2 linked regions of the Caenorhabditis elegans genome follow. The protein of the gene in region 2 purifies or fractionates together with the protein of the main gene of each other region. This does not show direct contact. Each region holds a gene or a part of one and is shown on either strand. Other genes may lie near its edges.

Evidence for each region.
Region 1: the proteins of wdr-23 (region 2) and xrep-4 purify together in Caenorhabditis elegans (affinity purification with western blotting, with the first as the bait; one study listed by BioGRID). This does not show direct contact.

Annotation. Positions count from the first base shown.
Region 1 is NC_003279.8:5,616,082-5,620,691, reverse strand, and holds xrep-4 (F-box domain-containing protein), read left to right. Parts: upstream 1-2,140; 5' UTR 2,141-2,278; coding exon 2,279-2,309; intron 2,310-2,359; coding exon 2,360-2,430; intron 2,431-2,501; coding exon 2,502-2,606; intron 2,607-2,654; coding exon 2,655-2,734; intron 2,735-2,799; coding exon 2,800-2,896; intron 2,897-2,979; coding exon 2,980-3,437; intron 3,438-3,489; coding exon 3,490-3,599; intron 3,600-3,696; coding exon 3,697-3,830; 3' UTR 3,831-4,094; downstream 4,095-4,610. Other genes in the region: cey-2 (CSD domain-containing protein), read right to left, coding at 197-566, 614-924, 968-1,090; trpp-8 (Trafficking protein particle complex subunit 8), read left to right, coding at 4,312-4,557.
Region 2 is NC_003279.8:7,594,650-7,602,711, reverse strand, and holds wdr-23 (DDB1- and CUL4-associated factor 11 homolog), read right to left. Parts: upstream 6,206-8,062; 5' UTR 6,187-6,205; coding exon 6,102-6,186; intron 6,043-6,101; coding exon 5,966-6,042; intron 5,699-5,965; exon of another isoform or gene 5,539-5,698; coding exon of another isoform or gene 5,500-5,538; intron 4,417-5,499; coding exon 4,276-4,416; intron 3,891-4,275; coding exon 3,641-3,890; intron 3,592-3,640; coding exon 3,345-3,591; intron 3,287-3,344; coding exon 3,076-3,286; intron 2,559-3,075; coding exon 2,379-2,558; intron 2,302-2,378; coding exon 2,091-2,301; intron 1,432-2,090; coding exon 1,325-1,431; intron 1,016-1,324; coding exon 809-1,015; 3' UTR 491-808; downstream 1-490. Other genes in the region: C2 domain-containing protein aex-1, read right to left, coding at 47-100, 290-388; D2030.8 (PC-esterase domain-containing protein 1B), read right to left, coding at 8,010-8,062. UniProt on the Caenorhabditis elegans protein: Involved in regulation of lifespan. Required for dopaminergic CEP neuron degeneration in response to Mn(2+). Inhibits the skn-1-mediated up-regulation of tatn-1.

The sequences.
Region 1 (4,610 bases), 2.0 Mb from region 2:
ATTGTTATGAAATAAACATTCAATTTACCGGTAAACGGTTTTATTGAGAGGTTTTCTCATTACAAGCTGAGGCAATGTGGCATTGAAGAACAAGAGGGATAGGGACTTACAATAGCATGCATAAATTGGGAATATGATAAAGTGTACTATGTATATGTACAAAGGTACAAATTTGAGAAATAAGCATTAATGGATCTTAAATCTGAGCATCGATTGGCTGGGCTCCTAGGCCGGCTTCTCCAAGTGCAGAGTCGCAACGGTCAACCTTGGAAAGTCCAGCTTCCTCTGTGATGATCTTGGAACAAGATTTGGAGTCTGGAGAAGCAACGTCAGAAGCAGATTCGGAAGATTCAGTGACAGCCGATGAATCAGCGGCATCACCAGCTCCTTTCTGTTGGGCCTTCGACTTGCGATTTCTGTTCTTGCGTTGCTTTCTTGGCTTTTTCTTCTCAGCATCCGCCGACATCTCCTGTGGCTTGGCATCGGTCGACTGGGATTCCTCTCCATCGACAGAAGCTCTGGGCTTGCGGTTCTTGCGGAAGCGAGAGAGAAGCTTGTGGCGGTATCTGTAAAATAGGATTTAAAAACTTCCATGGTCAATATAAACCCTCACCTCGATCCAATGACATTGTCTCCGTTGGGTCCTGTTACGTTAGCAGCTTCTGGGCCATTCTTTCCCTCGACGAGATCGAAGAGAACCTCTTCATCGTCCCCGAGGGTACGGAGGTAGAACTTTTCAGTGGCTGACTTGGCAATGGCTGTCTGGTGAACAAAGATGTCCTTTTCGCCATCGTTGCGAGAAATGAAGCCATAGCGACGGAGAACAGAATACCATTTCACTTTTCCTTGAAGTCCGGTGGTAATGGCTGTCTTCGACTTCTGCTCTTCTTCCCACAGACGGATGCGCTCAGCAGTCGGCAGACGCTAAATTAAGTAATTACTAAATTAATTTAAATGTGTAACATACTCTTTTACGCATCTTCTCTTCGCTGTTGCTTGGCGTTGTCTTATCTTGAACAGAGAGCTCTTCGAGCTTCTGCTCGAGAGCTTCCTCTCCGATTTCGACAGCGGCGTTTGCGGTGTCCGACATAGTCGTAAATTTGGTTGAAGCAAGTGAGGTTGACTGTAAGAGGGTAACTTTTAATAAGTCATTAAACAAAAATTGGGTAAAGATTAAAAAGAATATTTAACAGAAGCTATGTGCTCATGCTCAAAAACGTAACCAAAACTAAAGTCGAAAATCAGCAGCAAAAAAATTTAGAAATGAGAAAAACAGCTCACGGCGCGTGAACTTCAAGCTGCAAAATCGAAATGAATGTTTTGGGCCGCGCATCTGCGAAGCTAATGGGTCCCGTACTACAGTAACCCGGTAACCTGCACATCTAACTTCGCGCGGTGTTTCAAACGCAATGCATGGTTAGGAAATTCCTAAACAATTTTTGGATTCTTTTCGTCAAATTTGTATCAGATTGTTTTGCAATATGCTATTTTACTATTTTCTATCATTTTGTCATCACTGTCTTGAATTTTTAAACGATTGTTTAACTGATTGATATGGATAGTATTGTTGGTATTAAATAGTTTATAATAATCACTGAAATTCTAAAATATTTCATTATTTAACATTCCCTCGTAAAGCGTATTATGATTTTTTGAAAGTTACGGAATTGAGATAGAAAAAATGGAATTAAGTTCTAAAGTTTAGATTTTCTCAATTGTTTTCCAGTTGTTTCCTATTGTGACACTCCTTAACTTTCCAATTTAAGGGAAATGTCTCTTTTTTATACATTAAGAGATTACTTTAAGAATATAAAAACGCTTTAGGCCCCGTGTGACAATCTAAATGTGTTTAATCCTGCCTCCAATTAGTACAACGAGTGTTCATTATAAATGTTCAAACGAATTCGGAATTTCTATTTCCAATTTTGTTTTTTTAATGGTGACTTTAGTTAATGTTCTCCGTGATGTTGTTCATGCTTTCTAAAAACTAATGTACTCTGCCCTTTCCAGAAATTGACGTCATAATACTCGCACAGTACTCTCAAAAAATTGATTTTCAAATCGTCCATTCTCTCCAACTTCATTTTCTATCCTCCACGTCTTTTCTGTGCATCCTCATTTTATATTGTGTTATTTTCATGTCTCTGATCGACCTGCGCCATTGATATTCTTTCTCAAACGGCCTCTCTTTACATCTCTGGGTCTCTTGCCTCTGGGCGTGAGGTTCCCGTTTTTTCTGCCGATTTTCTTCTCTTTCCGCTGTTCCATTCTACTCAAAATGGCACTGGAAGAAATAATGGATTTCGAGGGTTAGTTAATGCTTAATAATGAAGATAAATCTGAAATTGCCAAATTATAGAAGAAGAGGCTGGATGGAAGCACTTGCCACGAGAAATACGCAGAAATATTCTCACTCGACTACCATTCCCAGTAAGTGTTGCGAAATCATTTTGCTCAAATTTCCATCAAATCAGTTAGATAAAGAAAAAATCCGTTTGCAGGATAAACAAAACATGATGTTGGTCAGCTGGGAAAACTCTCAGATATGCTCAACTCTTCCAAATAAGCTTCACGAACTCGGAATTACGGAGCTTCCCTCTACAGCTGTTAGTTTTAATTGAATTACTTTGTTTATTCAACCCAGTTATTTTCAGAAAACTATTCTGATAATGAAATGGAAAAATGAGATTGGAAGAGTTGTGAGCAGAATGGTGGAGTTTCGAGGAACCTCACTGTGAGTATTCTTTGTTCAAAACTTCAAATTAAAAGAGAAAATTCAAAGTCTTAATAAATGTTCAGACGTCAAACTGAATGCCCCGATCATACTGCAGAAGCTATGCGAGCGTTTTTACGTATTTGGAGATTCTCAAAAATTAAGAGTATTGTCATCGAAATTGTAAGTTGTGGTAGAGATAGATTGGTTTAAACCATGGCTTATCAGCTGTAGTATCAGCTAACAAAAATTCAATTAATTTTCAGCCATGTTTCGAAGGATTATCAAGCATCTGGGAAGAAGGAATGGCTGAAGTAAAAACAAATATCGCCGTCCGAAGTTTTAACATCAGAACAAACGACTATCGTTTAGTAACAAAAGCATTGACAGCTCCAAAAAACAAAGGACAAGATATATCATTGTTGGCAAATGACCACGGAGGAATGGAAACTGCAGTATTTGACATTGACAAGTTCAAGTACGCCCGCAGTGTGATCCTTTGGTCCCTGGTCAGCAACATTCAAGATCATCAACTTTATTCTTTATCTGCACACAATATTCGTTTACACAGTGAATTCATTACATCCAATTGCATTGCCAAAATGATTCAGGAATGGAAAGAGGGCAGGAGATCCCTGGAACGATTGCATATAACTTCGCCAATAATTGATTTGGATACAATTGTGAGACAAGTGCTTGGCGTCTGCTGGAAAAATATGACTGAGTACGAAGATTCTCCGATAAAGTATTAATATGATAATGAGTTGAATTTTCAGCATTTGTTCAATTATTTGGAGAGAAGTAGACGAAGAAGGGTATTCATATGCGGTGCGTGGACCAACATATGACATTCCTGCAGCAATTGGAATAATTCCGAATCAAGATGGTAAAGATTCTCAAAATCTAGTAAAACTGATTAGTTTCGAGTTCAATATACTAAGTAGAAGATCTATCAAGAACTGAACACACAAATATTCTTTCAGGTGTTCCAACATTCATTTTCCGCATAATCCGGATGACTCATGAAATGTCTCGAATTGTCTACGAAAGGTGTTCAGTGCAATGCCCCAATATGGTCAGCTCAGAGGATCTTGCAAGACAGCAGCAAAGAGTTTAATATTAATTATCTTGGTCTTAACTTTTGAAAACCGTCTTTGGTCCTTATTATCAGATTCCCAAAACGTTGAGTTTAGTATTGTGATCCCCATCTACTCGAATTGCAGGTTTCCAGAAACTTTGTTTTATCCCGTCAGAATGATGTAACGTTTCCAATTTTAAATATGGAATGTTTCACAAAAACTTTCCATAAAATGTTTGAAATCGTCCACAAACACATATGAATGTACACTATTGTAAATAAATTTAAAATAAACGTTGTCCTCGTTTTTTTGAAATATTATCCTGAAATAGTTTTTGTTATTGTTGAGTTCCAGATGTTTCCTAGACATTACCATATCTCTGGCTGACATGTGAGATAACTGCGATATACCGATGTGCTCACAGTTGCTCCAAACTTTGACAGACTGATATTACGAATAACTTGTTTCTTGCTAGAATTTTGTCTATAAATTTTCAGACTTCAGAGTGGCTCAATCTGAATGTCATCAGTGTCTCCGAGTCCTTTGATCGCATTAATATCATCTGAATGCAGTCAAAAACATGCTCATAATCGTGGATTCAAGTCACTTTCTCATTTTATCTTCCCATTCACATCACACGAGTGCCAAGTTCGCGAACCAATCGATAATTTGAAAGCTTCACAGAGGATTCGATTAGATATTCGTGATATTTCGAGTGACGGGCATCTTCTTACACTTTCAGTATTGCCATATGTACTTATTCAGGTAAATTTTCATTAACAAGAAAAAACAGGTACTTGATTTATAATTATTCACAT
Region 2 (8,062 bases):
TAAAATGTTCTTATCAAATAGATGTCAGAATAATCAAATTACTCACAAATTTCTCACATTTTTTTCGCAGCTGATTCAAGTGATCTTTGACTTTAAATATCTGAAACAAAAATGTTTATAAAATATTTTTCAATACCTTCAATAAATAATCAGTAGGAAGTATTGGTTGATGTATATTAAAAAGGTAAAACTAAAACTCCATATGAAGCCAAAAATCAATTTTAAATTTTCGAAACTCTTGAATATCCCTTCTTAAACTTTTTGGCAACCCGGCCACTACATAGCCTACCTCTGAAAATCGATCAATAATAGACTCCAAATGATCGGGATCCTCGGTAAAACTAATAGAAAGTGCTGCACAAATCGATTCGAGCGCTTCTTCCCTCATTTCAAGAGACTATAACTGATAAGGAAAACTAATGCTTTAAAAATGTTAAAAGTTGCTTGATGATGATTTTAGTGTGACGCAAGTTGCTCAAAGCAAAAGTATGATTTTTTTTTAATATTTGGTTGTTTAATTATTTATTATGATCTATATATAATTATATTCTTAACAAATTGGGAAATTTGACTGGTTGGGGATAAAAGATAACCGCATTATTATGTACAAACTCCGTATCAAATGAATCAATGAAATGGCGAGTCGTTTCGAGAAGCCTACCGTAACTTTTGGGGGAAATGGATGGGGAAAGGTAAAATAAAAGAAAGGCTTGAGAACAAAAATGGATGGGATGAAACAAGTAATAGAAAAAAGAAACCTAGTTTCAAATAAATCAAATTTTACAAGTTCTCAGAGTAAATACAAGTCTTAATTTTGAGAGATGCTGCTCGATGAGCACGGATGTCCACGTGAAGACATGGTTTTTCGTTGACGACGGCATTGTTTTTTGACAGGTTGGAAGAGCTCATCACACGAATCTTCGTCGCCAAACTGAGAAATATTGGGATGATCGTATGGTGCAATGACTCCTTCCTGACGTTCATCCCATGTCCAGACTGTTGTCACTCCGTCCCACTGAAAAATTGAATTAATTAGATAAGGGGACAAATTGTAATCAACTTAAAGTAATTAGTCTTTCATGTAAGGCTAAGGTATATATTTTGAAGATTACACAATTCGAAAATACTAATTATGGTTTCTTCCCTGAGCCCCACTACTAAATGTCAGTCCAATTATAAATCAGAATCCTGCTTTTTCAGGCGAAAACAACGAGACCAACGCCCGCCAATGCAAAAATGATGACAAATAAGAAATGGGGAAAACATGCGGTCGTAGTGATCTTTGTGATCCACAACAAAAGCAAAACACAGATCAAAAACTTACCGCACTACTAACAATCTCGTTCTCTGTTGGATGCCAATCACATTCTCTAACCACAGCTGTATGACCTTTCAGGCGGCGGCTCACTGTACCACTCATTATGTCGTATACTGAAAAACATTGAATTTTATACTTAAACTTTAAATTTTTTGATCAATTTGGTTTGCTACAAAAAAATAAATAACAGTTTCAAAAGTGGGGTACTATCAATCGGAAAATTTATTTTAATTAGTCGAAAATATTCTGATTCGCTGAAATGGTACAAAAAAAACGAAAGAGAAACTACTCTAATAATTGCAATTTTCTAATTGTTTCTATTACCAAGACGCGAATTTTCGTCGAGCTTTTCGATAAAAAAACAATTCAATTAAGAAATAATAGAAGCAATTTTTAATTTCGTGAGAAAAAGTATGAAAAGTCAACGAAAGTTTGGAATTACAGTAACCTTTAACGGCGCATATCTGATTGTATTTAACATAAGAAAGGTGATACCGGGCTACTGTATTTTTGGTCCAAAAATCGCAAATTTCACGTCTGGGTAATAATATTTCTGTTTGAATTTGCCACAATGGAGAACACTTCCAATTTAACATTTTCAGCTTGGTTCAAAAATGGGCGGTGGAAATCGCTGATTGGACTGGCATTTCTTTTTGGAGTGAATTCAAAAATGAAGATAGGAAAGAGTTGGAATATCGCGTTTTTTAAAGTCCTTCCACGATTTTTCGTTTTTTGTGACAATTCTGAGTTTTTAAAGTAACCTGTGACTTACCAACAACTTCGCCTCTGGCGCATCCCGTATAAATATACCGCCGTCCAGTGCTTTCCGGTGAGAAATTCGCTCGAACCAATGTATGCAGAACACTATGTCCACGTAGTGTCATAACAGACGTATCTCCGGCAACAGGTTGACATAATCCAGGTGGTGCAGGCTGCCATCGATAGTCCCAGTGTTGACTCTGAACGCACGCACGTGTAGCTTCCTATAAACGGAGACAAAACAATACAAGACTATTGTTGTATCTACATCGAAATAATTTCAACATTTCTTTCAACTCACCACTCCTGACATATTCGAAAACTTTCGAAGATCCCAAACTTTGATTGTTTGATCTTTGCTGTTACTCAACAAATATCTTTCGTCTTGTCGAGAATCCACGTGTGTCACTCCGTCACGATGTCCAGCAAATACTCCAACAGGCTCTACGTCTCCATCTGACCATGCACGTTTGTCCCATACCTTTAAATCAAAAATTAGAAACTTTTTTTTGATACGGATTTGTCATCATTGGAACTTTATACACATTTCTGGGTTTAATGACAAAATGGCATGCAAGCAATGTCATGTTGAGAAACTTTGAATAAATTTTTATATGCAAAATTTCGCGCAAAAGATACGGTACCTGCCTTAAAATGTTCGTTGCTGCGGAATTTTCATCGATTTTTCATCGATTTTCATCGATTTGTCTCATCGATAAAAATTTGTGCATTACTTTGAAAAACACATAAATTGTAACAAATCGAAAGAAAAATTATGAAAAATCGATTAAAATTCCGTAGCAACAAAAGTTTGAAATTACAGTACTCTCTAAAAGCGCACAGCTTCTGAATTTCATTTAAAAGTATCGTGTCGAGACCGAGTACAGTATTTTTGGAGCAAACTTTCTAGTCTTGGTAATTTCAGAATGACTTTTGATTAAAAAAATCACAGATTAGGATTTTCTGAAGATTTCTCGAAACAATTCAAAGAAATATACCTTTACAAGTCCATCATCTCCTGCACTATATATCAAATTTGATCCAAGATCCGCAAAGCACACCGAATTGACATCATCCTCGTGAGCATTCACAATTGTACGAATCCGCCGCCGTTGTTCGACGTCAAATACGTGAATTGAATACTGTGATGTACCACACACGATTTGTTCACTGCTATCCGAAAATTTCACACAAAAGACTGCACAGTGACTGAAAAATCAAATTTATTGTACTAATACAATTATTTTTTGCTGTGAAATGTACTCACTCTCTTCCTGGTTCTCCATTCAAATCAATTGGAAACCATGTGATATTTTGTCTTTCCGTAAAGTCGAGTTTTCCAACAAAAACTGCATCTTTCCATGTTCCATAAGCAATTAAATCTCCATTTAGACTAATCGCTGTATCAAGAATCGACCAACCACATTGATCAACACGAAGTTCATCAGATTTCATATATTTTGATCTGTATTTCGACTTGTCTGGATTTCTTTGGTAGAATCGAATCTTTTCGTCTGAAATATTAAATTGTTTTTTTGGGAATTCGTATCAAAAATATCTCACCCTGACTTGCCACCACGATTTTCGTTCCATTTTGAATATATTGCGTGCAGAATGATTTTGTCGCTACTCGATCGACACGTCGCTTCTGATTTGGTAAATGTGAATTGAGAACACGAGCAACAGTTCGCGGGTTTGAGATCGATGTTCCACGTTTTTGAAGGTCTCGATTGAGGATGAATTCCATATTATTCGATGTTGATGGACGTGGACCACAACGAGAATTAATTTCATTACGAAGTTGGGTGCAACTCTGTAAATCCAGAAAATTGATGATGTATTGCAGAAGATCCGTCATTTTTTGCTTTGAGACTTTGAAAAATGGTTGATTTTTATTTGAAGATTTCTCTACTTGCCGCACGAATCTAGTCCAATATGTGGATTAATACGTAATATCGGTTCTAGAAGAATTCGAGGGCACTCATGTGGATTCTTGTGGATTTGAATATATATGTAATTCTTTTTTTTTTTTTTTTTGAATTTTGTTTGACTATGAAATTTGGTAATTGTGATGACATAGGGATGTTGTGGGTTTTTTTTCAAAAAATTTTCAGATTTTAGTAAAATTCGACTCTTTTTCTACAAAATATAAATTTCAATAAAATATTGAAATCTTTTTTTTTGAAATTGAAACAAACCTCCGGATCTCCAATATGACATCTTCCACTAAATGCAATATGTTGTTCCCTTTCAAACATTTGCTGCTCCTCATGTGGTGTCATCTTCGGACATCCTTCATCGTCCGACGAGAAGTCTGTGTCACTGTCATTGCTGTGATTCTGAAATTAAAAATGAGGTTAGATACTCGAACAATATCATTTAGTGAACAGATCATTTGCTAGTTTTGCATTGTTGTATTTCACACGTGACCAATGAATGTGCGTGTTGAGTGATGAAAGAGAAGACCCGTGTTGCGTCAGTCAGTTTACTTGAATTTCAAATTACGAATCGAATTAGTTTGTAAGAAGGAAATGAAATTTCTAAAAATTCATCAAAATGCTCCTAAACATCGGGAAAATGTGTTAAGGAGGAGGGTGGAGCCACGGGAGGCAACGGGCGGTTACTGTAGGTCGAGGGGGAGCGAATTGTCATCATGGGTCACCAATTGCATAAAACGAAAAGAAGACTTCATGGTTTGTAGTCAGAATTCTTGAATAAATGGTGGGAATTGTATGATTCGTAGTTTAATTGTAGGCTTTTATAGTTGAAGTCCCCCAAAATCTCAAAGTCATCAAAAATTCTGACAAATCTTCTTTTTAAAAATGGAACTTATAGTACAAACCAATTCAAATGATCTTTAATGTTGAGCTTAAAGTTCAGTGAGATGAAGTTTGTCATCATTTTTTTTTTCAGAAAGCTTCAAATGATCATCCCTACAAAATATGCTTAAATTTGCAGAAATCAAATGACTATAGAGCAATTTCAACACGGAACTATGTATATGATTATTTTATCTGTAGCTTCATATATATTTTCTTTTATTATTTCTGATAAAAGCTAGACCGCTAAAATAGAGCAAAATATGGAATTTTTAGCGAAAGTCGAAGTCTTTATCTGTTAATTTATAATTTTTATCAAATTTCGAAATAACAAAACTATACTGCATTCATTATAAAATCATCAACTCAAACAATGAAACTACATACTTTTCAAATAGAATCCACTCTTATCAATTCCTGATAAATCTTGGTCATATCCAAAGATCAAAAGTTCAAAGGAAACGAAGGAAGAAACAAAACAATTTAGACGATCTCGATTAAAAAAAACCAGTTTCTCGTCAATCGATTGACGCCGATTACTACACTCTAGTGAACACAAAGTTCCGCATCATTTTTTTTATTGGTTTACTCAACAAAGCTTACCCTTTTCAGATTTGAAGAGGAATGTCTTTTGTAAGGCATAGACGTTGAATACGAAATGAAGATTCGTTTTTTCAGACAAAAATAATATTAATTTAGAGAAATGTAGCAAAATTTGGGCCTAAAAGGAAGGGAGGCGCGGTAAAAATTGAGAGAATGAGAGTGTAAGAGGGAAATCAGAGAAGACAGGTCGCCCGTCTGCGCCTCTTCGATTGGCGCGATCGGGCTGTCAGGCTCCACCCACTTGCGGAAGAATCAGTTGATTTTTTGTATGTTTTGTGATGACAAATGACGACACAACATACTATGTGTTCGCTACACATTTTTATTTATTGATTTTCAGGATAATTTGCTTTTAATTTGAGTTTATATTTTCAATGAATAGACATTTTATAAATGTTAATTTTGCAAAAGCATTTTAAATTTCGCTTAACTTCATATTATATCCCTATGGATCAAGTAAACCTACCGGTTTCATCCTTTGATGAGCCACGATTTCTGCAGCTGTCCGCACGGAATACGCCGGACTTTGGTTGCTGTGTTGGACTGAAAACATGTGGTTTGTAGTTTTTGTGACTAGCATCTCACTTCCTCTTCTCGCTTACCTCTTGTATATTCGAGAAATCGGTTGGGCTGATGACGTTGAAAAAGATCAAATCGGAGGAACGTCGACGTTATCCAGTTGCCCATTCGAGCATAGGGCGAAGCACTGTAGCGAGAGAACAAGTTTTTTTTCAGATTTTGTCAGCACACACAAAACTACAGACGGTTGAATGTGAATGAGTGAGGGATTGTCATCAAAACACGAGTAAAGAGGGAAATTGATGACAATTAATAAGGGAGACTTGAATGATAGGGTTGATATGGCTGACTACTGGGAAGCACCGACTAAGCAGGAAATCAGAAAGAGGCAGGAGAAAGTGGTAAACAAGAAATTGGTAGAGCAGGAAATTCAAGTCTCTAAATATAATATCTACTGTATATTTTTCTTATTGATACTGCGAAAATTTCCACAAGAATTAGATGCCTTTGCCTCTTAAGTAGGCTCCGCCCACTGAGAAAGTGAAAACAACCATTTTGAAAATTCTTAATTATAAGAGTAATTTTAAACGAACTGCTCAGAAAACTATTCAATAAATTCTTTTTTTGCTTTATGCATCACTAAAACACGTGATCATCTGATAACGTGACTTTTGTGAAGTTGCATAATTAACAAACAATGTTATTAGATAAAAAGATTGGAAATCTCAAACTACTTTCACATGAATAGGCACTGATTCTATATTAAATATCATCATTTAATTGAATAAATGTTCGTTTTGACCCTTACGGGAACCTCAGGGCTTCCCATCCGGCTCGGTGTAGACGCAGAAAGCGAAACAATTCACGCGTCTTTCACTCGTTCTCCGAAAGAATTGAAACGAAAAATCAATATTCGATAAAACACATGATGATATTAGAGAGACACACAAACACTCACAAGAAACTCAAACAATTCCAGCAGGCGAAAAAAAAAGATGAACGCGTAGCCGATCTCTGTGTCTATAGAAAACAAAGTCTCTGCACAGCACGCTGACAAAAATGATGACAATTCACCGCGAGGAGGCTAACTGCGAAAGTGTTATGTGTGGAGAGACAGATGTGGAGAATGAAGATAGTGAATGAAACGAAGAGAGTATAGAGGTACGACGTAGTCATTGAGTGGTGGAGAAGTTGGAAGGAAGATGATGAGAATGACTTCTTCGTTCTATTCCATGGAAGGGATCTTTGAGATCAAGTTAAGAAGGTTCATTAATTGATTTCATCTATTAGCTATAACTTTCTTCTGTATAATTTTCTTTTTTTTCGGAAAATTTATATTTTTAAGGAAAGTTTAGCACAATTTAAAAGTTGTTATCGTACGTTTATAAGATTTTGACATGCGATCTGAAAGGCGCATGCATTTATTCAAATGGGTCTCGGCACGCATTATAATTTATGGTATTCTTTTTTTTTTAATTTTTGCGGCAGCTTCGTTTATTTTCCTGGCATTTTTAATGAAAGTTTCCTCGTTTTTATTTTATCTTTTACATGGAAAAGATCCGAGGAAGCAGGCACAAAACTACAATACATTTTTGTGCACCGAGACTCATCTGAATAAGCCTGTGAGCCTTTTAGAAGACATGTTAAATTAAAAATAGAAAGTTAGAAAAATTGTGTTTCAAATATTTTTTAAGATTTGAGCAGTTCCAAGTATTTTTTTCGAATTTACGAGGAAAAATCATTCTTCACAATTGAGTTTTTAAAGAAACTGACAAATTGTGAGTTCATTAATGAATAATTAAAATTACTATTATCTCTTGTTCAGTTTGAACGGGAACTAGTAATTTTTAAGAATTTGAAAACAATTAAATAAAATTTTACACCAAATAATGGTTTGTAAAATGTTGGGAAATAAAATTTCGGAGTAAAAAGCCTGAGACATATTACATGTAACTGTTTAACACCCGTTGGGAACACATTGTACACATAGATTAACGATATTCGTGACGAGATCCGGAGAAGCGACGTCGTTTTCGATACTGAC